Linked DNA regions of Macaca mulatta. The protein of the gene in region 7 purifies or fractionates together with the protein of the main gene of each other region. This does not show direct contact. Links are inferred from orthologs where the notes say so. Each region holds a gene or a part of one and is shown on either strand. Other genes may lie near its edges.

Region 1 (3,500 bases), on a different chromosome or scaffold from region 7:
TAATCCAAGCTACTCAGGAGGCTGAGGCAGGAGAATTGCTTGAACCTGGGAGGCAGAGGCTATAGTGAGCTGAGATTGTGCCACTCCACCCCAGCCTGGTAGACAGAGCAAGATGCCATCTCAAATAAAAAGCCAACTTAATTGTTGCATGAAAGATAGTTAAGCCAGTATGCATCCCAGAACCATTAATAAGTAATTTTGTGAGATTTTTCTACAGCTAGGTCTGGCAGCCTATTTTTGTAAATAAATTTTATTGGAACACTGCTGTTCATTTACATGTCTGTGGCAGATTTCTAGGTAATATTGCAGAGTAGGTGAACAGGAAACGTGACGTACAAAGCCTAACATATTACTACATGACCTTATAAGAAAAATTTGTGGCCGGGTGTGGGGGCTCACCCCTGTAATTCCAGCACTTTGGGAGGCCAAGGTGGGTAAATCATGAGGTCAGGAGTTAAAAACCAGTCTGGCCAAGATGGTGAAACCCCATCTCTACTGAAAATACAAAAATTAGCTGGGCGTGGTGGCAGGCTCCTGTAATCCCAGCTACTTGGGAGGCTGAGGTAGAGAATTGCTTGAACCTGGGGGGCAGAAGTTGCTGTAAGCCAAGATCATGCCACTGCACTCCATCCTGGGCAACAGAGCGAGACTCCATCTCAAAAAAAAAACAGAAAGAAAAATTTGCTGGCTGGGTGTGGTGGCTCACGCCTATAATCCCAGCACTTTGGGAGGTGGGCGGATCACCTGAGGTCAAGAGTTCGAGACCAGCCTGACTGACATGGAGAAACCCTGTCTCTACTAAAAATACAGAATTAGCTGGGCGTGATGGTCCATGGCTGTAATCCCAGCTACTCGAGAGGCTGAGGCAGGAGAATCACTTGAACCTGGGAGGCAGAGGTTGCCGTGAGCCGAGATCGTGCCATTGCACTCTAGCCTGGGCAACAAGAGCAAAACTCCGTCTCAAAAAAAAAAAAAAGAAAAAAAATTTGCTGACATATGTTCTAGAGCAAAACATTTGCAAACTGAGGTTTATGAATATAAATTTATCTGGAAAATAAGTGCTTTGCTTTAAAATAAGATTTATAACAAATAGCACTTTTTATAACAGGTGTAGGTTTGGGATCTAAGTCAGTAAGGTTTAGAAATTGATAGGTCAAGAGATTTTTCTTTTTTTTTTTTTTTGAGACAGAGTCTCATACTGTCACCTGGGCTGGAGTTAGTGTGATCTCGGCTCACTGCAACCTCTGCTTCCTGGGTTCAAGCAATTCTCCTGCCTCAGCCTCTCAAGTAGTTGGGATTACAGGCACCCACCACCACGCCCAGCTAATTTTTTTTGTGTTTTTTTTTTTTAATTAGAGATGGGGTTTCACTATGTTGGCCAGGCTGGTCTCAAACTCCCCACCTTGTGATCTGCCTGCTGCGGCCTCCCAAAGTGCTGGGATTACAGGCGTGAGCCACTCTGACCAGCCAAGATTTTTCTAATGGTTCCTTAATTAAAATAAATTATGTATCCTTGTAATTGCCATATGAAGCCCCCAAGGAAGACATTTTCTTTGAGATGGAGTCTTGCCCTGTCACCCAGGCTGGAGTGCAATGGGACGATCTTGGCTCACTACGACCTCTGCCTCCTGGGTTTCAGTGATTCTCCTGTCTCCCTTTACTGAGTAGCTGGGATTACAGCCGTACACCGCCACGGCTGGCTAATTTTTTGTATTTTTAGTAGAGACACGGTTTCACCATGTTGGCCAGGCTGGTCTCAAACTCCTGACTCCCAAGTGATCCACCCGCCTCGACCTCCCAAAGTGCTGGGATTACAGGAGTGAGCCATCACGCCTGACCTAAGGAGGCTTTTTTTTTTTTTTTTTTTTTTTTTGTTGAGACAGAGTCTTGCTCTGTCACCAAGCTGGAGTGCAGTGGCATGATCTTGGCTCAATGCAACCTCCGCCTCCCTAGTTCAAGCAATTCTCCTGCCTCAGCCTCCCAAGTAGCTGAGATTACAGGCCACGTGCCACCACACCCAGCTAATTTTTGTATTTTTAGTAGAGATGGGGTTTCATTGGCCGGGCGCGGTGGCTCAAGCCTGTAATCCCAGCACTTTGGGAGGCCGAGACGGGCGGATCACGAGGTCAGGAGATCGAGACCATCCTGGCTAACACGGTGAAACCCCGTCTCTACTAAAAATACAGAAAACTAGCCGGGCGAGGTGGCGGGCGCCTGTAGTCCCAGCTACTCCGGAGGCTGAGGCAGGAGAATGGCGTAAACCCGGGAGGCGGAGCTTGCAGTGAGCTGAGATCCGGCCACTGCACTCCAGCCCGGGCTACAGAGCAAGACTCCGTCTCAAAAAAAAAAAAAAAAAAAAAAAAAAGAGATGGGGTTTCACCATGTTGGCCAGGATGGTGTCGATCTCCTGACCTCATGTTCCAGCTGCCTCAGCCTGCCAAAGTGCTGGAATACAGGCGTGAGCCATTGCGACTGGCCCCTAAGGAGGCATTTTCTGAGTTCCATTATTACCAATCTTTTAGTTCAGTTTGAAATTCAATTATTTGGACTCTTGTTTATAGTTTGCTTTTGTTGTGTGATTCATAAGAGACTGACAATTTTATGTTGGGTTAGATTTTTATAATGTATTTACCCAAAGCTCTGGTATTTGATAGAACTATTTTTGCCTTATACGATTTGCCCTACCTGGAAACTGCTTACTGCAGAACTCTGATGGTTTATCTAAATCTCAGGTCTCATTCAGCAGCTATTGAAATATTAACTTTGTTTTCTTCCTTATCTTGCAGATGTATGTCCATCCCTGTGACGATGAGGGCTATTCGGAGGAAAGCTGAAACCATTCAGGCCGACACCCCAGCACTGTCCCTCATTGCAGAGACAGTTGAAGACATGGTGAAAAAGAACCTGCCCCCGGCTAGCAGCCCAGGGTATGGCATGACCACAGGCAACAACCCAATGAGTGGTACCACTACACCAACCAACACCTTTCCGGGGGGTCCCATTACCACCTTGTTTAATATGAGCATGAGCATCAAAGATCGGCATGAGTCGGTGGGCCATGGGGAGGACTTCAGCAAGGTGTCTCAGAACCCAATTCTTACCAGTTTGTTGCAAATCACAGGGAACGGGGGGTCTACCATTGGCTCGAGTCCGACCCCTCCTCATCACACGCCGCCACCTGTCTCTTCGATGGCCGGCAACACCAAGAACCACCCGATGCTCATGAACCTTCTTAAAGATAATCCTGCCCAGGATTTCTCAACCCTTTATGGAAGCAGCCCTTTAGAAAGGCAGAACTCCTCTTCCGGCTCACCCCGGATGGAAATATGCTCGGGGAGCAACAAGACCAAGAAAAAGAAGTCATCAAGATTACCACCCGAGAAACCAAAGCACCAGACTGAAGATGACTTTCAGAGGGAGCTATTTTCAATGGATGTTGACTCACAGAACCCTATCTTTGATGTCAACATGACAGCTGACACACTGGATACACCACACAT
Region 2 (3,500 bases), about 77 Mb from region 7:
GATCACTTGAGGTCAGGAGTTCGAGACCAGCCTGGCCAATATGGTGAATCCCTGTCTCTGCTAAAAATAAAAAAAAATAAAAAAAATTAGCCGGGCGTAGTAGTACATGCCTACAATCCCAGCTACCCAGGAGGCTGAGACGGGGGATTGGTTGAGACTGGGAGGTGGAGGTTGCAGTGAGCTGAGATCACGTCACTGCACTCCAACCTGAGTGACAGAGTGAGACTCCATCTCAGAAAAAAACCTTATATTGTATCTAGTCATTTGCTTTCTTTAATGCAGCAAATCGGCTCTATTTTTACAATAAATGGTTCTGCTCATATGCCTGGGAGACATGGTTTGAGATAAGAACCTTCAGTTCAGACTCTGTACTTTGGTTCCAGTGGTGGGGCCTTCCTGTTCCGCTTCTTCAGCAACGGAATGCCAACACCATTCCACTGAATGAACCAGGCAGAGCAATGTAGACTAGAAAGTTACAGGACGCATCCAAAGCTCTAATCTGTTTCTCCACCTTAATGCCCTCTCATGGTGTCCAGCAAACCACTAGTTCTACAAAAACCAGAATGATTCCCCAACAATACACAGAGGAAAGTGCAACTATGGGGAGGGAAAACAGAACAAAGAGTTAACCAGCTCTACCAACCCGATCTCCTCAAAGACTCTGCCCTCTATGGTTGCTTGCCACGTTCCACCCAACAACAGCTGCTCATGATAATCAATGTCTGACAGATCAGAGAAAGCCCTTAATGTGTCGCCAAGGGGCAGTTCAACAGATGGCATGGTGACTTACAACCAGAATCATTAATTACACTCTCTTATTAGTCCCGGGGCACAGTGCTGAAAATGCTTCCTCAGTGAAAGATGAGCATTTCAGATAAATGACCGTCTGGTACTGCCTGTGAAACTCCCTTTAGGATCTCTGGTCAGTGCCGATGTCTAAATCTAAGCCGTAGGATGTTGACAGCCCTTTCGCACCTTCCACATTCAAGCAGGCTACGAATGTGAAGTTCCTGCTACCACTATGCAACACGGTTCCCAGAATCACTGCAGGTAAGGATACGGTAAAAAGTGCCTGCCACTCATTTCCCCTCAAGTCAGATGACCGTGCTGAAAGGCAAATACAATGATCTCAGCCTCAGAGCTAGCTCAATGTTCCCTCCTTCTGTGCCAGAGCATGTTTCCTGAGCATGGAGGTGACATGGCTCTCCTTGTCCCTTGTCTACTCTGAGAGGGATTTAAGAAGTATTTCTTGAAATACAACATGACCGGCTCTCTAACTCAGAAGTGTCCTCCTTTACAAAACCACTGGCTGCAACTCTTTTCCATATCTCTTGAAAAAAGAAGAGCAGACATTCCTGAAAAGGAAGTGCAGCAGCCCGGGGCAGCAAAAGTTCCCAAACATTCACACTGCTGGCTGTGTTATCCCATGGGACCAAGCACTGAGGGTAAACCACCATGCACTTAACTACGAAACCAAACAAGTGTATGGGGAGGAAATGTTTCTGAACTCCCTCCCCAAGGTCACTCGGACTAATGTCCTCAACCCAGGGTAGAAATGAGTTCTTCCTCTACAGTTTGAGAACTGTGCTTTATAAATACTACTGTGAAATTTAAGAGCTGACTACAGATAGATCTTGGAGGCAGACAACTTCTCAGCCACAGCATGGATACAAGTCAGAAATAAACCTCCAAATGGCCAGGCGCGGTGGCTCATGCCTGTAATCCCAGCATTCTGGGCTGAGACGGGCGGATCACGAGGTCAGGAGATCGAGACCATCCTGGCTAACATGGTGAAATCCCGTCTCTACTAAAAATACAAAAAATTATCCGGGCGTGGTGGTGGATGCCTGTAGTCCCAGCTACTCAGGAGGCTGAGGCAAGAGAATGGCATGAACCCGGGAGGTGGAGGTGGCAGTGAGCCAAGATCGTACCACTGCACTCCAGCCTGGGCGACAGCGAGACTCCATCTCAAAAAAAAAAAAAAAAAAAAAAAACCACACACACACAAAAAACAAAACAAAAACAAAAAAAACCTTCCAAATGCCTTAAAAGAAACGTTTTTCAGCACTTCCCAACTACCACCAAACATACTCTTTGGTTTTCACTGATTTGCTATTGTTTTTATACCTCAATTTATAATTTTTTTAAACATGAGTTCAAACGAAAGCAGTATTAAGATCCTAAGGTTGTGATTAAGAGTTCACTGTTTGTTTCCTACAATCCAGTTTGTTCTGTCCTGGACATATAAGAACATGACTTCAATTTTTAACTGTGCTCAAATAACTACAGTATCTGATGGATATTCAGAATTCACATCATGAATTTTTAAATGATAAAAATGTTGTTAATTAAAGCATAATAAAAACCTCCTAATGTGGGCTACAGGAAGGGAAACGTGGACAGTCTGGGTCTGCCTTTTAATGGACTCACCTCTAGCTTTTTCTCCTTCTCGGACAAAACATCTTTCTGATTCTGGGTATACTCCACCAACATCCGAGCCAGCTGGCGACGGTCCTCCAGCTCTGCCGCCAGGCGCCCGTTATATTCTGCTAGTAACAGACATGCTTCATCTACTGTTTTTGAAAGACGTTCAGCTGCCTCTTTGTCTAAGTACAAATGAGATCAAAAAATAGAGAAAATATACAAATCACATAGGTATGATTAGAAACATTTCTGGGGGAGGTTAACAGTTTCTCTCCCAATATACAGAGTCTAAGAATAAGCCAGAACCTGTGGACAAACAATGAGTTGATTGATCAAGAAATCCAAAGGTATTCACCCTGTCAGCAAGACAGGACACTACTCAATTACCCGAGGTAAGGAAGTGGTACAAGGGAGGAATCTGGCAAAGGCTTTCTAAATGCCTGTTCCTGCAAAAGCTCTCCAGACAAAACAAGCAGAAAGAGATATTGAAGATCATCCGTGAAAAAATCGTTCCTTGCCTCTGAGAATTTCAAGTGCTTTCATTTATATTACAGTTGGCCCCCTATATCTGTGGGTTCTGTATCTGTGGATTAACCAACCATAAATGGAAAATACTCAGACCAAAGAACCCCACAAACCAATAAAAATAACGATTAAAAACCCACAATTTAAAAAATACAGAATAACAACTATTAACACAGCATTTACATTGCATTAGCTATGATAAGTAATCTAGAGAGTATTTAAAGTATATGGGAAGATGTTCGTTGGTTATAGACAAATCCGACACCATTTTATTTAAGGGCCGTGAGCAACCTTGGATTTTGGTATTCTCAGAAGGTCTTGGAACCAAACCCCCATGGATATGGAGGGACAACCGTATTTCATTAAGTAGTCTTTTTACTTTCCATTGGAATAAAAAATAGCGTGCACTTTATCTCTTGGGTGTGGGAACTAAGACCTCCTCCCCGCCAAAAAAACCCTACATGACAGGTTTCAATATGCAGTCAGCTAAGATGCTGGGACTCGAAGCCAGATCTCTAAAATGATCTATAGTACTCTATCTCTTAAACTAT
Region 3 (3,500 bases), on a different chromosome or scaffold from region 7:
TAGAAAGATTATTATAGCATAGCAGTTCCTAACCTGTACTACTCCATGGATGGATTTCAGAGAGTCTGCTTGTACTTATGTGCATTTTTCAGTGAAGCTCTCCATACCTTTCATTACATTCTTCAAAGGAACTGTGACCCAAAACAGTTTAAAAAAAAAAAAAAAAGAAATGGGAAGAATGATGCAAAACAAAATTAGAAGGAGAAAACCCAGTTATTCCTTTTATAGTGTCTGCTATGTTTTAAAGGGGAAAAAAACAAGAAAAAAGAAAAACCAGTTAGGAGGTTATTGTAGTAATCCAGATGGGACAAGATTTAGAGTCTGAAATAAGGTAATGATAGGAGAGAGAAAAGTAGACATCTGATAACTATGAAGAGTAGATAGAACTTGGTAATGTGGTAGATTATGGACAGCAAGGGACTAGGGGTGATACCCAAGTTTGTAGCTTAAGAAATTGGGTTGGCCGGCCAAGCACGGTGACTCACGTCTGTAATCCCAGCACTTTGGGAGGCCGAGGCAGGTGGATCACCTGAGGTCAGAGTTCAAGACCAGCCTGGTCAACATGGTGAAACCCCGTCTCTACTAAAAATACAAAAATTAGCCGGCCATGGTGGTAGGTGCCTGCAATCACAGCTACTTGGGAGGCTGCGGCAGGATAATGGCCTGAACCTGGAAGGCAGAGGTTGCAGTGAACCGAGATTGCACCACTGAACTCCATCCTGGGTGACAGAGCGAGACTCTATCTCCAAAAAAAAAAAAGAGAGAAAGAAAGAAATTGGGTTGTCTAGGCACAGTGGCTCTCGCCTGTAATCCCAGCATTTTGGGAGGCTGACGCAGAAGAATCACTTGAGCCCAGGAGTTTGAGACCAGCCTGGACAACATAGACCCTATCTCTACCAAAAAAAAAAAAACCCACCAGACCTGATGGCACATGCTTGTAGTCCCAGCTACTGAGGGGCTGAGGTGGGAGGATCACTTGAGCCCAGGAAGTCAAGGCTGCAGTGAGCCACAATTGTGCCATTGCACTACAGCTTGGGCAACAGAGCAAGACCCTGTCTCAAAAAAAAAAAAAACTGGGATGGTTATAGTGCAGTTACCTGAAAACTTACAAAACAGAACAGTTTGGAGAACAAGTGAAAGTGTCAAATAGGCAGCTGAGTCTATGCATCTGAAGCCTAATAGAGGGTTCTAGGATAGGCCGGGTGCGGTGGCTCATGCCTGTAATCCTAGCACTTTGGGAGGCCGAGGCGGGTGATCACCTGAGGTGAGGAATTCGAGACCAGCCTAGCCAACATGGCGAAACCCCATCTCTACTAAAAATATAAAAACTAGCCAGGCATGGTGGCACAGGCCTGTAATCCCAGCTACTCAGGAAGCTGAGGCAGGAGAATCGCTTGAACCTGGAGGGTGGAGGTTGCAGTGAGCCGAGGTTGTGCCACTTCACTCCAGCCTGGGCAAAAGAGCAAAACTCCGTCTCAAAAAAAGAGAGAGAGGGTTCTAGGATAGAGTGACATATTTGGAAATGCACCAATAGTTGAAACCTGGAGAGCAGATAAAATTACCCAAGTAGAGCATGTAGAATAAAAAGAAAGGAAAGGTATGGATAGAACCCTGGCAAAACACCAGTATTATAGGTGGGATCTGAAAGAGGAATCGGTGGAGACTGAGGAAAGGTGGCCAGAAAGGTTCAAAGTAGCACCAAGAAAAAATAGTGTCAGCCAGGCCCAGTGGCTCACACCTGTAATCCTAACACTTTGGAAGGGCAAGGCTGGCGGATCACTTGAGCCTAGGAGTTTGAGACCATCCTGAGCAACATGGTGAGACCCTGTCTCTACAAAAAATACAAAAATTACCCAAGCGTGGTGGCACACACCTGTGGTCCCAGCTACTTGGGAGGCTGAGGTGAGAGGATCACCTGAGCCCAAGGAGGTCAAGGCTGCAGTGAGCTACGATCACACCACTGCTCTCCAGCCTGGGTGACAAAGACCCTGTCTTTAAAAAGAAAAAAAAAAAAATGGTGTCATAAAATCCAAGGAGCCACATAAAGTTTTAAGAAGGAAAAAATGTCCAACCATGTCATATGCTTCCAAAAGGTTAAATAAGATCAGAAGTGGAAAGTATTATTTGAACTTAACAACATAGAGTCCTCAGGGACAATTGTGGAATTTCACTGGAATGCAAGTGACAATTGACATTTCAGTACAATGGTGGAAACGGGTTAAGTAAATCTAGATAGAGATAACAGCTGGGATGGCCAACTGTTTGAGAAGCTTGGCTGTGACAGTAAGGAAAAGAAGAGAAGGCATAGGGTTGAAGGAGAATTCTAGAGTAAAAGAGACTTGGACAGGGTAAAGGCTGATAAGAAGGCAGTAGAGAAGGAAAGGCTGAAGATGTTAGAGGACAGGGTAAAATAGAGCTGGATCGCCAAGAATGAATGAGAGAGTAAGATCTGGAATACCAATATGGGCATTAACCTTAGGTAAAAGGAACATTTTTCAGCTGTGATAAAAGTGAGTGAAAATATGAGTTAAGAACAAAAAAGAAAGAAATGTGGTGAGGATGTGCACAGAGCTGAGTAAGTTCTGGCTTAGTGGCTTCTATTTTCTCTGTGAAATCAGAGGCAAAGTCATCTGCCAAGAGTGAGAAGGAAGAAGGGTCAGGTTGGAGACTTGAGGGTAATGGAGAAGAGTTAAAATAGGGAGAGAAAGGGCGGTCATGGTGGCTCACGCCTGTAATCCCAGCACCAGCCTAGCCAACACTGTAAAACTCAAACTCTACTAAAAATAGAAAAATTAGCCTAGCTCAGTGGTGGTTGCCTGTAATCCCAGCTACTCGGTAGGCTGAGGCAGGAGAATCGCTTGAACCCGAGAGGCAGAGGTTCCAGTGAGCCGAGATCATGCCACTGCACTCCAGTCTGGGTGACAAGAGCAAAACTCCATCTCAAAAAAAAAGTAAAATAATAAAATAGGGAGAGAAAGATTGGAGATGAGCTTAGAGAACCTGTTTGAAGTTGGGATTTGTCTAGACACCAATCTACATGACTGAATGATTTTTCTCCAACCAATTTAGTTGTTACTGTGTAGGAAAAGAAATGGTGAACCATTAAATCCAAGCTCCTCACCAGAAAACTTTACATTATATCTAAATGTTTCTCTCTAAATCTTTTCTCTTCCTCAGCCCATTCCAGATGACGGGATTTATTGGCAGGCCAACCTTGACAGATTCCACCAACACTTCCGTGATCAAGCCATTGTGAGTGCAGTTGCTAACAGGATGGACCAGGTAATACCTAAGTGGGTCTGTCATTGGTCATCAGGGACATTTACTTATTTGTCATATCTGGCCATTGGCACAGAGAGCCGGGGGCAGCACTGTGATTTCTGAATTCTAGTTTACTTTTCAAACAGACGAGCAGCGAGATTGTGCGAACCATGCTCCGAATGAGTGAGATTACCACTTCCTCTAGTGCTCCCTTCACCCAGCCATTGTCTTCCAATGAG
Region 4 (4,081 bases), on a different chromosome or scaffold from region 7:
TAGCCAGGCTTGGTGGCACATGCCTGTAGTTCCAGCTACTCAGGAGGCTGAGGCAGGAGGATCACTTGAACCTTGAAGGTGTAGGTTACAGCGAGCCAAGATTGCACCACTGCATTCCAGCCGGGGCAACAGAGTGAGACTCTGTCTCAAAAAAAAAAAAAAAAAAAAAAAGACACACATACACCAAACAACAACAAAACAATTTACAGAGTGAAGTCCTGCACTGGGAGGGATTTAGACTAGATGACCTCTAAGGGTCCTCCGAATTCTAAGATTCTGTGCTTCCAAGTGGTGTTTAAAAAGATCAATCTGGCCTCTCGTGGTGGCTCATGCCTGTAATCCCAGCAATTTGGGAGGCCGAGACATTTGGATCACTTGACATAATGAAATTCCATCTCTTAAAAACAAACAAATAAACAAACAAAAAAACAAAACAAAGAGCCAGGTATGGTGGCACACACCTGTAGCTCCAGCTACTTGGGAGGCTAAGGCAGGAGGATCACCTGAGCCCAGGAGGTTGAGGCTACAGTGAGCCATGATCACACCACTGCACTCCAGCCTGGGTGACATAAAGAGACCTTGTCTAAAATAAAATATAAAATAAAATAAAATAAAATTTGATTGTAATGTCTCTTTTCCCCTGGTTGACAATGAAATTGATGACTCATCCCTGTGCTCCCACAGTGTCTGACACTATCTTTTTCATGGTAGATGATTAATAAATGTTTCGCTGAATGCATTTCTTTGGATTGAATTGGGGCCTGGTCAGGTTTGGAAGGCCAGAGATAGAAAGAATTCAAAGGTTATACATATAAATGCAGTTAGTGACTGGGCATAGTGGCTCATGCCTGTAATCCCAGCACTTTGGGAGGCTGAGGCAGGAGGATCACTTGAGCCCAGGGGTTCGAGGCTAGAGTGAGCTGTGATTGCACCATTGCACTCAAGCCTGGGTGACAGAGTATCTCTAAAAATAAAAATAAATAAATGCAGATAGGAATAAACATCAAATTGTCTTAGGGATGTAGAGTTTTGTCCGAGGGTCTAAGCACTTTCTCCTTTGTGCTAAACTATATTGTAATTATCTGACCTGTTTGGGGGACCATGTCTCATTCATGTTTATGTTTCCAGAAATTCTCTCTCTGACACTGTGCCTTCTCAGTCAAAATTTGTTGAATGACATTGACTTTTTATGTCCCAGCGATAAAAGATTGAATGTCTTGTACCTCCTTGGCTTCCTGTCCATTCTACTACATTTCTTTTTCTCTTTGTTTTTGTCTTTATCAGGTTTTTTCACTGGATCTCTGAACACCCAGGCCCCCTCCACCATGGCCAGCCGGGGTGGGGGCCGGGGTCGTGGCCGGGGCCAGTTGACCTTCAACATGGAGGCCGTGGGCATTGGGAAAGGGGATACTTTGCCCCCACCCACCCTGCAGCCTTCTCCACTCTTCCCTGTGAGTCTCTCCACTTCCTTCCCAGACTCTCATGTGCCCCTGGCTGACTGTACATGATTCTGAATTCCTCCTGGACCATCATAAAACCATCCTCACTGGCCCTCTCTGTCTCTATACTCCCAATGCACAAGGGATGTTTTGCAGTCAAAGAAGTGTCCACCTTTATTTCTCCCCAGCTTTCAAAATGATATGTTACTCTCCCCATTCTCTTTCAGCCCTCTGCTCAGGGGAATATTAGATTAAATTGGGAGGAGGGGTCTTCCTAAATTTGTACTAGCATTTTCTCCCTGAACAGACCACTGCCCCTGCCTCTTTAGCCTTTGGAGTTCCGCCCAGTACCTTTGCCTTCAGGAGAGGAAGGGGAATATGTCCTGGCACTGAAGCAGGAGCTACGAGGAGCCATGAGGCAGCTCCCCTACTTCATCCGGCCAGCTGTCCCCAAGAGAGGTCAGTTGGAATGCTAGCATCATATTCTGAGTGCCTTCCGTGGGGAGTGCCCTGTGCTCAGCACCACTGGGGGCTGGAGAGGCACAGGAAGCATACTGTCTAACTGGGGAGATCATAATAGTTACTCCTGCATCTGAAATGCATTATAGTATTCATGGTTTGTTTTGAGTCTCATGATAGTTTTGGGACAGCGGGAGGTTAAATATTAAAATCCCATTTCTTGTGTGTAGGTGGGGGGATGTATTTTCTAAAAATTTATATATTTTTTATTTTTTTGTAAAATAGAGATGGGGTGTTCTTATGTTGCCCAGGCTGGTCTTGAACTTCTGGGCTCAAGAGATTCTTCCGCCTTGGCCTCCCAAAGTGCTGGGATTACAGGCATGAGCCACCGTGCCCAGCAAAAATTTTAACAATCTGGATATTAAAAGCACCAACCAACAACAGAATACTGAAATCGGCCGGGCGCGGTGGCTCACGCCTGTAATCCCAGCACTTTGGGAGGCCGAGGCGGGCGGATCACAAGGTCAGGAGATCGAGACCACGGTGAAACCCCGTCTCTACTAAAAATACAAAAAATTAGCCGGGCGCGGTGGCGGGCGCCTGTAGTCCCAGCTACTCAGGAGGCTGAGGCAGGAGAATGGCGTAAACCCAGGAGGCGGAGCTTGCAGTGAGCCGAGATCGCGCCACTGCACTCCAGCCTGGGCGACAGAGCGAGACTCCGTCTCAAAAAACAAAAAACAAACAAACAAACAAAAAAACAGAATACTGAAATCCTGGTTTCTTTTTTTTCTTTTTTTTTTTTTTTTTTGAGACGGAGTCTCGCTGTGTCTCCCAGGCTGGAGTGCAGTGGCGCGATCTCGGCTCACTGCAAGCTCCGCCCCCTGGGTTCACGCCATTCTCCCGACTCAGCCTCCCAAGTAGCTGGGACTACAGGCGCCCGCTACCACGCCCGGCTAATTTTTTTGTATTTTTAGTAGAGACGGGGTTTCACCGTGTTAGCCAGGATAGTCTCGATCTCCTGACCTCGTGATCCACCAGCCTCGGCCTCCCAAAGTGCTGGGATTACAGGCTTGAGCCACCGCGCCCGGCCGAAATCCTGGTTTCTTATTCCCTAGCATACTTTCCACTGCATCACACTATTTCTTAATACAGCCATGCCTTTGAACTAAGGGACAGAAAAAAAAAAAAAAAGTCATCATGGCCGGGTGCGGTGGCTCACGCCTGTAATGGCCAGCACTTTGGAAGGCTGACATGGGTGGATCACTTGAGGCCAGGAGTTTGAGGCCAGCCTAACCAGTATGGAGAAACCCTGTCTCTACTAAAAATATAAAAATTAGCCAGGCACAGTGGTGTGAGCCTGTGGTCTCAGCTACTCAGGAGGCTGAGGCACGAGAATTGCTTGAACCTGGGAGGTGGAGGTTGCAGTGAGCTGAGATCTCGCCACTGTACTCTAGCCTGGATGACACAACAAGGCTCTGCCTCAAAAAAAAACAAAAACAAAAACAAAACAAAACAAAAAAACACTGGCCAGGTGTGGTGGCTCACACCTATAATCCCAGCACTTTGGGAGGCTGAGGTGGGCAGCTCACGAGGTCAGGAGTTCGAGACCATCTTGGCCAACATAGTGAAATCCTGTCTGTACAAAAAAAAAAAATACAAAAAATTAGCCAGGCCTGGTGGCAGGTGCCTGTAATCCCAGCTACTTGGGAAGCTGAGGCAAGGAGAATTGCTTGAATCTGGGAAGTGGAGGTTGAAGTGGACCGAGATTGCGCCACCGCACTCCAACCCTGGGCGACAGTGTGAGACTCCATCTGAAAAAAAAAAAAAAAAAATCATAATTTTAGGTGGAAAAGAAACAGGTTAGAAGAGTGATAAGGGGCCGGGCGCCGTGGCTCACGCCTGTAATCCCAGCACTTTGGGAGGGCGAGTTGGGTGGATCACGAGGTCAGGAGATTGAGACCATCCTGGCCAACATGGTGAAACCCTGTCTCTACTAAAAATACAAAAATTAGCTGGGCGTGGTGATGTGCGCCTGTAGTCCCAGCTACTCAGGAGGCTGAAGCAGGAGAATCACTTGAACCTGGGAGGTGGAGGTTGCAGTAAGCTGAGATTGCACCACTGCACTCCAGCCTGAGCGACAGAGCAGGACTCTGTCTCAAAAAAAAAAAAAAAGAAAAAAAAAA
Region 5 (4,187 bases), on a different chromosome or scaffold from region 7:
CCTTTCACGCTTCTCCTTCTTGACAGTTACTTCTTCCTTGGGCCTGGAAAAAAGAATGGATTAAGGGAAACCACTCACTCACTGTGTCTCCAAAAACTGGCCTTACTCTCCCATACCACTTCACTCCAAGACAGCGGAGAGTTTGAGCCAATAATTACACCATGAGAAGCAGAATCCAATCCTAATTCTAGCACTTTTCTCACTTCCTTGATGAGGCAGGATTTTTTCAGTTTGCTTTACTTTACGTTCTTGTCCAAAAATGTAGATTTTTGTTTGCATTGGGACTGAAAGCAGGAAGGCAGAAATGCAAAGGAACTTCAGGGAAAGCGTGATACATCTTTGTTTAAACTATTGGCTCTCAACTCGGGCCATCAAAGAGAATCACTCCATTCTACTGCCAACAAGTTAAATCACAATTTCTAGAGATGGAACCCTAGACACCAGTATTTTTTTTTTTTAAAGCTTAAACATTAGAATCACCTAGGAGCCAGGGTTGAAAATCACTAGTGAAAAGAACTAAAGATATAAATTTAAATTTTGGAGCCACAAACCTACTTATTTCTCCCCAAAGCCCCAAATTCAGAGCAAGTAAATAAGGGGCAAGTATTCAGAAGGACTAGCTACTTACTCTTCCTTGATCTTCCGACTGATGATATTTGGGGTGAAGGTTTTCTGAAAGCAAAATACAGGAGTCACTGATGTGTTAGGTCCTGACCCCAAAGTACAGAGGAAAATAAAAACTCCCAACGGGCATCTTCTACAGACCACGGCCACCATGACTCTCTTTGGCACATTCCACAGTGCTGTCAGTTTTCTAGATACACGTGTGCCTGAAAAGGAGGAACGTCATGGTGTGGCGGCAGTGGAGTTATGCATAGAAGAAAGGGGCACCAAAAACCATTTTTAACCAGCAGCCTTAGGAAAGAAGATCCTGAAAGAAGGTCCTCTGGGACTTCTAAAAGCAAAGGAATTTCTCTGGTCTCACCTCTTATCTTCAAACTGCTATAGAGACCAGTCAGTATCATGGGGGAACATCTCTAGCAGCAAGGCCTAAGTAGGGAAGGCCACAGATCTGCCAATACTCTCAATCACTGTTGGCAGTGTTTTTCCATATTTTCCAAGGCAAAGTTAGGTTTCTAAAGACTGCTTTATGTCCAGGCGTGGTGGCTCACGCCTGTAATCGCAGCACTTTGGGAGGCCAAGGCAGGTGGATCATGAGGTCAGGAGTTCAAGATCAGCCTGGCCAAGATGGTGAAACCCCGTCTCTACTAAAAACTACAAAAATTAGCCAGGTGCGGTGGCAGGCCTCTGTAATCCCAGCTACTCGGGAGGCTGAGGGAGGAGAATCGCTTGAACCCCAGGAGGTGGAGGTTGCAGTGAGCTGAGATGGTGCCTCTGTGCTACAGCCTGGGCGACAGAAAGAGACTCTGTTAAAAACAAAACAAACAAACAAAAAAAACTGCTTTATTTGGCCGGGAGCGGTGGCTCACGCCTGTAATCCCAGCACTTTGGGAGGCCGAGGTGGGTGGATCACAAGGTCAGGGGTTCAAGAACAGCCTGGCCAACATGGTGAAACCTTGTGTCTACTAAAAATACAAAAATCAGCTGGACATGGTGGCGGGCACCTGTAATCCCAGCTACTCAGGAGGCTGAGGCAGGAGAATCACTCAAACCCGGGAGGCAGAGGTTGCAGTGAGCCAAGATCATGCCATTACACTCCAGTTTGGGGGACTAGGGCGAGACTTCGTCTCAAAAAAAAAACCCAAAAACCTGCTTTATTCTTCTGTCATCCTGACCCCACCCCTTTCTGGGCTACTCTTGACATCCACAGTCATATACACATGGGACAGCCCACAGAGCCTCGAATGCCATGCCTAGGATTCATGATACTCTAGATAACAAGTTTGCACACTGAGATGGTGAATTCTGAACGCTCTAAGACTGTGAAGTTTATGCCTGCCTGGCTTTCATGGGTTTCTTAAAGATGTCCAAACACACAATAAGAGTAAATAAACACTGTTCAAATTACTTTTGAACGACTTTAACTTATTAGGATTCTCTGTCTTTCAACCACCTCTGGGACTCATTTCAACATTTTGTACTCAGTACCTAGATTTGAAGATAGGACAGGCTCCCTAGAATTTAAAGAGGGGTAGGCTTGAGGCCCAACGACACTCCTGACACATAGTAGGCCCTACACAAACATCAGTTGAATGCCGGGGCTTGGAATTCAAGGTAGTTGAGTTTCTTTAGAAACGCGCCGTTGGATACCTTCTTGACTCCCCCGAGGGTGAGGTCCCTGGAACGGATGGAGGGAAGGCGGCCGGGGGTGAGGGGAGGCGCCGGCCGCCGCCCGATGAGCCCCCGGGCCCCAGTCAGAAGGGGTCGGGGCCCTCCCGGAGTGCTGGGCTCGCCGGCGGCGTTTCCTTCCGACATGTTGCCTGGGAGAGAAGGGGGGACGAGATTACCAGAGTGGACTGACACGCGGACCCTGGCGGAACCCAACCCCCTTGCTTTCCGGTCCCCCAGTCGGTGCGTCCCTCCAGTGGCCTCTCAGCTCCTCCCCTCCCACGTGGCGAGATTCCCGGGACCACCCAGGTGAGAGCCTTTGGCTCGCGACACGCCCTCTCTCCAGGAACCCCGCCCAGGAACCAGGCAGGGACGCACCCGGGCCGCGGCTCCACACCGCGCGTCACCACTTCACCTGCGACGCGACCCGCTGCCAGCTTTAGGTCTCCGCACCGGGCGGAAGTCTGCGTGGCACCGCCTGGGCGCTGCCATCTTGGCACGGGCCGGATGTGACGTTTCGGGGGCGGGACTGGGCCACAGTATTTATCAGGCGGCGCTTCGCTCCCCTCCGCCTTCTCTTCCCGGTTCTTCCCGGAGTCGGGAAAAGCTGGGTTGAGAGGGCGAAAAAGGATGAGGGAACCGGTCTGGGCTACGCTATGTGGCGGTGCTCGGGGGTCTTGGCCCCCGGGCGGTGGCGTGGAGGTGCCGAGATCAGGGTCGCGGGTCTTGTCGGCCGCCAAGCCGCAATGTGAGGCTTCGCCTCGGCGGAGCCCCTGGGAGCTTGGGGGTAGCTGCTCGGGATGGGACGAGGGGCGCGGCACAGAGAGCGAGACCTGGACTTAGAGTCGGGGAGTCTTGGGCCGTGCGGAGCCCTGTCTGCGGGTTCTCCATGGTGACCTTGGAGTGGTCACTACCTCCGGGCAGCGACCTCGCCCACTCTCGGGGACCCCTTCCCTGTGCTCCTGGTGGAGTCCTGGGGTGAGGCTGTGAGGGCAGCGTTGGAACAGCCGCAGTGGACCAACTGGTGCCCAGTCACACCCGCTTGGGATCACGAAGGCGGTGGCCCTCGGGTGCGCTCTTGGTCAAAGCCTGGACAGAATCGGAATACCAAGTTTGCTCTACTGCTGGAGGAATTTAAAGAACTTTTATTGACTCCAGCGTTTGTGATATAAAAAGTGTCGTTTAATGTTATCTCCCATCCCCCCAGACTGTATAAAAACATTATTACGGGGAGTTTGAGGAAAGGAAATCGTTTCTACCAGAATGCCACGTAGAGTACTACTATTAAAAATTTTGTAATGTGTCTAGTAGTCTTCACAGAGTTGTATCACAATTTCGTATCCTTTTTCTTTTCTTTTTTTGAGGCGAGGTTTCTGCATACTGCAACCTCTGCCTCCCAGCCTCAAGCCATGCTCCCACCTCAGCCTCCCAAGTAGCTGGGACTCTAAATACATGCCACCACGCCCGGCTAATTTTTTTTTTCTTTTTTCTTTTTCTTTTTCTTTTTTTTCTTTTTTTTTTTTTTTTTTTTGTATTTTTGGTAGAGACGGGATTTCACTGTGTTGCTCACACTGGTCTTGAACTCCTGAGCTCGAGTGATGCCACCCGCCTCGGCCTCCCAATGTGCTGGGGTTACAGGCGTCAGCCACTGCGCCTGGCCTGTATCCTGCTTTTTCAAATAACATTTCTCTGTTACGGCATCAAAGACTGCATAGTTCTCCAGTGGCTGTATCATGATTTAAGTATTTCCCTGATTGTTTCTTTTTTCCCTGTTTTAAATAATGCTGTAGTGAATATCTGGTACATTCGACGTGCTTTTTTTCAATTTTGTTTTGGTTTTTGTTTTCTTTCGGATTATATTCCTGGGATAGATTTCCCGTCCTGGGATAACTGGCCAA
Region 6 (3,500 bases), on a different chromosome or scaffold from region 7:
CCTCTTGGTTGTGTAACCTTGAGAAAGTCATGTACTTTTCTGAGCCTGATTTTTCAATTGTTTTCTAGGGAAATCAGTGAGATAATGACATAATTTAAGACCGTGCCTAGCACAGAGAAGGCACTCAGTAATGTCTAGTTACTCATTCAGTCAATGATTCATTCACTGAAAATAGTCCTCTAGTTCCAAGTTGTTCCCACATTTAAACATCCTCAGTTCCCTTGGTGGTGCCTCATGCTTTCCAGTGGTACCAGAAATAAGACATCAAGGCACCCTGCAGGGAGCTCTTTATTCTGTTGTGCTCACCTTTTCTCATTGAGCTTCAAGTCCCCCTGTAACATTGTCAGGTCAATTTGGAAGTCACGTATGTGCAAGGCAAGTATGATCACATATGCAGTAATCTTCGCCTTCATAGAATCCGAAATTAAGTTCCGTAATCTAGAAAATCAGTGGCAATAAAGGAGAAACAAAATTAAACTCTCAATTTCTCCAAAAGCAAAATAAGAACATTCAACCCTATTCTCATATGCACTGAATGTCTTCCCAATTTCAGGAAAGGAAAAGGAATGTGGGTGACTTCTTTGCCCTTCCAAGGTTCCTGGGCCTCACGCACAGTGGAGCAGTGGGCCAGTCCATGTTTCCCTCTGAGGCAGACAGAGAAGGCTGGGCCTACACTCTCCCTGGACACCGCTAGCGCTGAGTCTGTCCCCGCCTGCTCAGCAGGGCTGCTGGGAAAACAATCATCCCGAAATCAGCTGTGCTGATTCTTCCAAGCACACTCTAGAGCAGAAAACATACTCCAGGCAAATGGCAGGAAGGAAGCCCGGGGCAACGCTTGCGGGTCTTTCCTGAGTCACCGAGTTGGGCTGCCCTTTTCTGCAACACTGCCTTTCCGCAAACACCAGCTCTGTGGGACATCAGGAAGGGCTCTTCAAAAGTATGTGAAGTAAAACAAGTCTTTATTGGAGGACTTCCCAGAGCTTCTAAGATTCCCCAAAAGTAATACTTTTCCAAAAAGGACAGAGTATGTCATATTTAGCGTTTGCTAAACTTACTGGGGCCCCAGGAGCCTTCCAAATGGCAGCAGTCTCTTCAGCACTGCATCTCTGTGGACGTGGAATTGAGTCCAAGCCCCTGCTGCTCACTCCCAACCCTCACTCACTTTCTCCTGCACAGGAAAAATCCCAGAAACCACCCCCTGACCTGCCATTGTTGTACGTCAAACAGGTAAAGTGCTTCAGCAGTTTGGTGTTGATGATGTGGGGAACTCCAGGTCCCAGGGCACCTACAACACAAAGTTGAGTTTGATCATTTTCTCTCAAAACCCTCAGGCCACACCTCCACCATGAGTTGAGAGAAAAGCCAGGAGCTGGGCCACTGTAATGACCAGAACCAGGTGGTAAGAGAAGCAGGGCCCACAAAGCAGAACGGCCACATCGAAATGAAAACATGCTTGGTGTGCTTCAGCCTGCAGCTTGCCCTGCACAAGAGATGCTGGTGATGGGGCAGTGACAAGAAAACACAGCCGGAGGCCTAAGGACGTAGATTTAACATGACCTTAGAAAACAAAAATTGTGCTGAAAGCTCAGGGAGAGACAGGGAAAGCTGGAATTGGAATGTGAAAATAAGAACTAAGTGACCAGATGCAGTGGCTCACACCTGTAATCCCAACACTTTGGGAGACCGAGGCAGGCAGAACACCTGAGGTCAGGAGTTCAAGACCAGCCTGGCCAACACAGTGAAACCCCACCTCCACTAAAAATACAAAAATTAGCTGAGTATGGTGTAATCCCAGCTACTCAGGAGGCTGAGGCAGAACAACAGCTTGAACCTGGGAGGCAGAGGTTGCAGTGAGACGAGATTGCGCCACTGCACTCTAGCCTGGGCGATAGAGTGAGACTCCATCTCAAAACAAAACAAAACGAAACAAAACAAAAAAAAACTGGCTGGGCATGGTGGCTCACGCCTGTAATCCCAGCACTTTGGGAGGCCAAGGCGGGCAGATCATGAGGTTAGGAGTTCAAGACCAGCCTGACCAACATGGTGAAACCCTGTCTCTACTAAAAACACAAAAATTAGCCAGGTGTGGTGGCGGGCACCTATAACCCCAGCTACTTGGGAGGCTGAGGCAGGAGAATCCCTTGAACCCAGGAGGTGGAGGATGCAGGGAGCCAAGATCGAGCCACTGTATTCCAGCCTGGGTGACAGAGCGAGACGCCATCTAAAAAAAAAAAAGAACTAAGCAAATACAAGCTGAGTGCGGTAGCTCACACCTGTAATCCCAGCCAGCACTGTGGGAGCCCAAGGAGGGTGGATCACCTGAGGTCAGGAGTTCAAGACCAGCCTGGCCAACATGGAAAAACCCCGTCTCTACTAAAAACACAAAAATTAGCTGGGCATGGTGACGCCCGCCTGTAATCCCAGCTACTCAGGAGGCTGAGGCAGAACTGCTTGAACCCAGGAGATGGAGGTTGTACTGAGTCAAGATCATAGGTCTGCACCCCAGCCTGGGTGACAGAGCGAGATCCTGTCTCAAAAAAAAAAAAAAGCATGACTAAGCAAATACAGTCATGTCCCACATTACGTTCTTTTGGTGAATGACAGGCCACATATGTGACAATGGTCCTGTAAGATTTTGTTTGACACAGGGTCTTGCTGTCACTGAGGCAGTGGTGCATTCATAGCTCACTGTAACCTTGAACTCCTAGGCTCAAACACTCCTCCTGCCTCAGCCTCCCAAATAGCTGGGAGTACAGGCGTGCATCACCCCAGCTAATATTTTTATTTTTTTGTAGAGACAGTGTCTTGGTATGTTGCCCAGGCTGGTCTCAAACTCCTGCCCTGAAGTGATCCTCTCACCTTGGCCTCTCAAAGTGCTGAGATATAGGCATGAGCCAACATGCCCAGCCGGTCCCAAAAGATTATAATATCATAGTTTTACTATTCCTTTTCTGTTTAGATACATTTAGATACACAAATGCCATTGTGTTACAATTGCCTATAATATTCAGCATAGTAACATGCTGTATAGGTTTGCAGCCTAGGAACAGCAGCTTATAGCATATAGCCTAGGTGTGTAGTAGGCTATACCATCTAGGTTTATGCAAATATACTCTGTGATGTTTGTACAATGACAAAATTGCCTAAGGATACATTTCTCAGAACATATCCCCATCATTAAGTGACACATGACTATACTAAAAAATAGGAGTATAGACTATTGGATGCCCAATCACAGTAACAACTAAATATGCCTTGTGCCTAAAACCACAGACATCTCCTGGGTTTCCAACTCTGGGTAGGTATGAGGGTGTGACCCACAAAGCGTCCTGGCTACAGGTGACACTGGGTTACCATCAGATTGACGCTCTCCTGTTAGAAATAAGCTGACACAACACAAACCTGCCACAAGCTTTCAAGATACATATGTGTAACTCATAAGCGCTCTCTCCACACACACACACACACACACACACACACACACACACGGCTGATGTTTG
Region 7 (3,500 bases):
TGCCATTGCACTCCAGTCTAGGCGACTCAGTGAGACTCTATCTCAAAAAAAAAAAAAAAAAAGAATCACTGGTACCCATTGGCTCTGAATTCACCTTTTTTGCTGCACGAATGTGACAGGCAACCATCTAGTTCTGTTTTGTTTTTTTTTTTAATCATTTTTCTCCCATACTATTACTTGACTTCTCAGATGTTCATATCCTAGTTCTCCTATTAGATCACAAGCTCCCTGAGGGCAGGGGCCTAGCACAATGCCTGGTACGCAGGGACGGCACCACCTTTGGAATGTGAGAGCAGAGAGTGTTTTCAGGTGCCAGGCTGGGCAAGATTAGCGGTACAGGAGCTCACTGTGGTCTGACAGATGGAGAAGACAGTGAAGGGGCAATCACTCACGCAATCTGGAGCGCTCGGGTGCCCAGCACACGGGCTCGCTCGTACTTGGTCATGTATGGTGTGGTGATTCGCTTCTGGTTGGCCTGCGGTCGCTCCCCAGAGGGGAGGATCTCGACATTCTCCTGGCCTTCCTGGACACCAAGACAAAAAAGAGGGAAAATCTCAGGTGGCATTTTTGGATTACAGGGAGGGTGATAATGACAACAATCATAATCCCCGCTACTGCCACCATTAATGCTTACTGCATACCAGGGTACTGCATGACTGCTTCCTAACGACTCATGTAATCCTTACAATAACCTTATGAGACAGGGATTACAGTTCTCATTTCAGAGGCTTGGAAAGTCAGCTAACCTGACATAGCCTGAGACCTTGTAATGGAGGACCATGACTGAGATTCCAGAGCTGGCTGCCTCATCCAGAAGAGAGCAGAGGGCCTGGAGATGGGGTGGTCTCAGAACACTGGTCCTGTAAAAGAGGTCCTGGCACAAAAAAATTACCCTAAGCAGGAAGCTAGGAATAGTCTCCCCATCTTTCAGATAGGGGAGCTAAGCCAATGGGTCAAGTGACTAGAAAAATCAAGGTGAAGACAGGAATATTTAACAATTACTTACTAAGTATTTGTCCTGAATCAGATATCATTAACAGATACTGAGAAAGCAAGCTAGGAATTTCTGCTCTCAAAGAATTAATGGTCTAAAGGGGGAGACAAGAGTAAACAGAGCAGGTGCTATGAAGGGATGCAGTGTGCAACAGAGTTCCCAAGGAGGTGGGGACACCTCACACTGGGAGTCAGGAAAACTCCAGGGATGAGATTTGAGCTCACCTAGAAGGATGAGCAGCAGCTGTCAAACCAACGAGGAAGGAGGCAACATGCAAAGGCACAGAGGAGAAAGAGGTTTGGACAGCTAGTTGTGGACAATAATTAGAATGAAAGGTGCGTAGAGGATTGTAGGCAGGAGAATAAATTCTGTGGTATATAAAGAATTAAGTAAACAGGCCGGGCACGGTGGCTTACGCCTGTAATCCCAGCACTTTGGGAGGCTGAGGTGGGCGGATCACAAGGTCAGGAGATCGAGACCACCCTGACTAACACGGTGAAATTCCGTCTCTACTAAAAATACAAAAAAAAAAAATTAGCCGGGCGTGGTGGCGGGCGCCTGTAGTCCCAGCTACTCAGGAGGCTGAGGCAGGAGAATGGCGTGAACCCAGAAGGCGGAGCTTGCAGTGAGCCCAGATCTCACCACTGCACTCCAGCCTGGGCGACAGAGCAAGACTCTGTCTCAAAAAAAAAAAAAAAAAAAAAAGGTTGACTCTGAGCTGGACATGGTGGTGCAGAACCTACAGTTCCAGCTACTTGAGAGGCTGAACTGGAAGGATCACTTGAGCCCAAGAGTTCAAGGCTGTAGTGCGCTATGACCGCACCTGCAAATAGCCATTGTACTCTAGCCTAGACAACGTAGCAAGACACCACTTCTTAATTTAAAACAAGCAAACAAACAACAACAACATAAAGAAAGGATCACTCTGGATACTCTGTTGAGAATATTCTGCAGGGGGCAGTGGCAGAAGCAGAGAGGCCATTTAGGAAAGCCAGTAGTAACTGAGCACGTGGGCAAGTAAGAAAGGGCGCTGAAAGGAGAAGAGCACTCAGAGCAGTCTGGAGTGAGACTGAAGCAGGAAAACCAGCCACACAATTCCTGCAGGAATGTGGCTGAAAAGCAATGAGATCTAAGCCAGCCTAAGGCACCAGGAGTAGAAAAATGCAGACAGGGCTGAAGTACATCCAGAAGGCACAATCTACATGACAGTGATGGGAAGGCGACCAGAATGATGGAGAAGGACACATCTGACTCAAGCGAAAAGGTATCTGAAAGTGCCATGCAGAGAGAGAGAGGGCTCCCTGTCTCTCCAGGACATAACTGCATTTTTTTCCCTCATCAGTCACACAGGACAGAAAGCCCTACTTTCCTCATGAGGCTAGCAACCTATCCACCTAGTTGCTCAAGCCAGAAACCTGAGAGTCGTCCTTGTCACCGCTCACTTTCTCAGCCCCATAACCAACCCACCGCAATAACTCTTTCATGTGTCTTCTCATCACCTGCACTACCAGCACCTATATCCAAGCCACAGGCCTCTCACCTTCCACTCTTGCCCTTCCCCAGTTCACTCCTTACTCAAGGCAGGATTGCACTTTCTAAAATGTAAACTGGACTGTGCCCTGGCTCAAAATTTGTCAGTAGCTTCCCATTGCCTTTAGGCTACAAAATACTGCCTCATCTGAGCCCTGCTTACCTCTTCCTTTTGCTCCCTAACTAGTCCCACCCTGCAGAAAGCACCTGGCACATAATAAACATTCAACACGTGTTTGCCGAATGAAGGAAGGCACTGTTTAACTTGTCAGTGAACTAACTGCCCCAGAAGCCACAGGCTGTGGACCACATGGACAAAAGCTTTCAGGTCCACCCTGCAGGGCTGTTCTGCTATGCAAGACTGGAACACAGCTCACTCTAACTGGGAATGCTTATGGCAGGGGCCTTGACCACAAACAGAAGGTAGACACGTTCAGCTAATTATCACCTGCCAGACTATTTGGCAGCTTGGGCTGCAGAGGTGGGAGCCTGAGGCTGAATACTGACCTCTTCAGCATTCTCCAAGTCATCTAGCCCTTCATCCTCTTCCACATCATCAAAGTCGTCACCATCAAAACTGTACAGGAAGAAGAGATCAGTTACTTAGAGCATCACTTACAAGAATCAAAGAGGGGCCAGGTATGGTGACTCACACTGGTAATCCTGGTACTCTGGGAGACCGAAGTGTGTGGATCACTTGAGGCCAGGAATTCGAGACCAGCCTGGCCAACGTGGCAAAACCCCGTCTCTACTAAAAATACAAAAATTAGCCAGGCATGGTGGCACATGCCCGTAATACCAGCTACTCGGGAGGTTGAGTCACAAGAATTGCTTGAACCCAGGAGGTGGAGATTGCAGTGAGCCAAGATTGCACTGCTGCACTCCAGCATGGGTGACAGAACAAGAACCTGTCTCAAAGTAAATAAAATAAGAAAAATAAAAAATAAAAATCAGAGGCCAGGCGTGGTGGCTCTGG

Evidence for each region.
Region 1: the proteins of POLR2F (region 7) and MED1 purify together in Homo sapiens (affinity purification with mass spectrometry; 3 studies listed by BioGRID and IntAct, with this or other methods). This does not show direct contact. The link is inferred for Macaca mulatta from reciprocal best matches to the Homo sapiens genes POLR2F and MED1.
Region 2: the proteins of POLR2F (region 7) and RPRD1B purify together in Homo sapiens (affinity purification with mass spectrometry; 4 studies listed by BioGRID and IntAct, counting the BioPlex papers as one, with this or other methods). This does not show direct contact. The link is inferred for Macaca mulatta from reciprocal best matches to the Homo sapiens genes POLR2F and RPRD1B.
Region 3: the proteins of POLR2F (region 7) and POLR3C purify together in Homo sapiens (affinity purification with mass spectrometry; 3 studies listed by BioGRID and IntAct, with this or other methods). This does not show direct contact. The link is inferred for Macaca mulatta from reciprocal best matches to the Homo sapiens genes POLR2F and POLR3C.
Region 4: the proteins of POLR2F (region 7) and POLR3GL purify together in Homo sapiens (affinity purification with mass spectrometry; 3 studies listed by BioGRID and IntAct, with this or other methods). This does not show direct contact. The link is inferred for Macaca mulatta from reciprocal best matches to the Homo sapiens genes POLR2F and POLR3GL.
Region 5: the proteins of POLR2F (region 7) and POLR3D purify together in Homo sapiens (affinity purification with mass spectrometry; 5 studies listed by BioGRID and IntAct, with this or other methods). This does not show direct contact. The link is inferred for Macaca mulatta from reciprocal best matches to the Homo sapiens genes POLR2F and POLR3D.
Region 6: the proteins of POLR2F (region 7) and POLR1E purify together in Homo sapiens (affinity purification with mass spectrometry; 4 studies listed by BioGRID and IntAct, with this or other methods). This does not show direct contact. The link is inferred for Macaca mulatta from reciprocal best matches to the Homo sapiens genes POLR2F and POLR1E.

What each region holds. Positions count from the first base shown.
Region 1 is NC_133421.1:63,746,349-63,749,848, reverse strand, and holds part of MED1 (mediator of RNA polymerase II transcription subunit 1), read left to right. Parts: intron 1-2,786; coding exon 2,787-3,500. UniProt on the Homo sapiens protein: Component of the Mediator complex, a coactivator involved in the regulated transcription of nearly all RNA polymerase II-dependent genes.
Region 2 is NC_133415.1:90,930,517-90,934,016, reverse strand, and holds part of RPRD1B (regulation of nuclear pre-mRNA domain-containing protein 1B), read right to left. Parts: intron 2,607-3,500; coding exon 2,431-2,606; intron 1-2,430. UniProt on the Homo sapiens protein: Interacts with phosphorylated C-terminal heptapeptide repeat domain (CTD) of the largest RNA polymerase II subunit POLR2A, and participates in dephosphorylation of the CTD by RPAP2. Transcriptional regulator which enhances expression of CCND1.
Region 3 is NC_133406.1:119,464,809-119,468,308, reverse strand, and holds part of POLR3C (DNA-directed RNA polymerase III subunit RPC3), read left to right. Parts: intron 1-3,177; coding exon 3,178-3,282; intron 3,283-3,407; coding exon 3,408-3,500. UniProt on the Homo sapiens protein: DNA-dependent RNA polymerase catalyzes the transcription of DNA into RNA using the four ribonucleoside triphosphates as substrates.
Region 4 is NC_133406.1:119,326,875-119,330,955, reverse strand, and holds the start of POLR3GL (DNA-directed RNA polymerase III subunit RPC7-like), read left to right. Parts: upstream 1-1,281; 5' UTR 1,282-1,325; coding exon 1,326-1,451; intron 1,452-1,768; coding exon 1,769-1,898; intron 1,899-4,081. UniProt on the Homo sapiens protein: DNA-dependent RNA polymerase catalyzes the transcription of DNA into RNA using the four ribonucleoside triphosphates as substrates. Specific peripheric component of RNA polymerase III which synthesizes small RNAs, such as 5S rRNA and tRNAs.
Region 5 is NC_133413.1:23,888,820-23,893,006, reverse strand, and holds the start of POLR3D (DNA-directed RNA polymerase III subunit RPC4), read right to left. Parts: upstream 2,801-4,187; 5' UTR 2,668-2,800; intron 2,442-2,667; 5' UTR 2,437-2,441; coding exon 2,272-2,436; intron 673-2,271; coding exon 629-672; intron 44-628; coding exon 1-43. UniProt on the Homo sapiens protein: DNA-dependent RNA polymerase catalyzes the transcription of DNA into RNA using the four ribonucleoside triphosphates as substrates.
Region 6 is NC_133420.1:62,108,670-62,112,169, forward strand, and holds part of POLR1E (DNA-directed RNA polymerase I subunit RPA49), read right to left. Parts: intron 1,286-3,500; coding exon 1,204-1,285; intron 439-1,203; coding exon 307-438; intron 1-306. UniProt on the Homo sapiens protein: Component of RNA polymerase I (Pol I), a DNA-dependent RNA polymerase which synthesizes ribosomal RNA precursors using the four ribonucleoside triphosphates as substrates.
Region 7 is NC_133415.1:13,546,478-13,549,977, forward strand, and holds part of POLR2F (DNA-directed RNA polymerases I, II, and III subunit RPABC2), read right to left. Parts: intron 3,102-3,500; coding exon 3,032-3,101; intron 524-3,031; coding exon 393-523; intron 1-392. UniProt on the Homo sapiens protein: DNA-dependent RNA polymerase catalyzes the transcription of DNA into RNA using the four ribonucleoside triphosphates as substrates.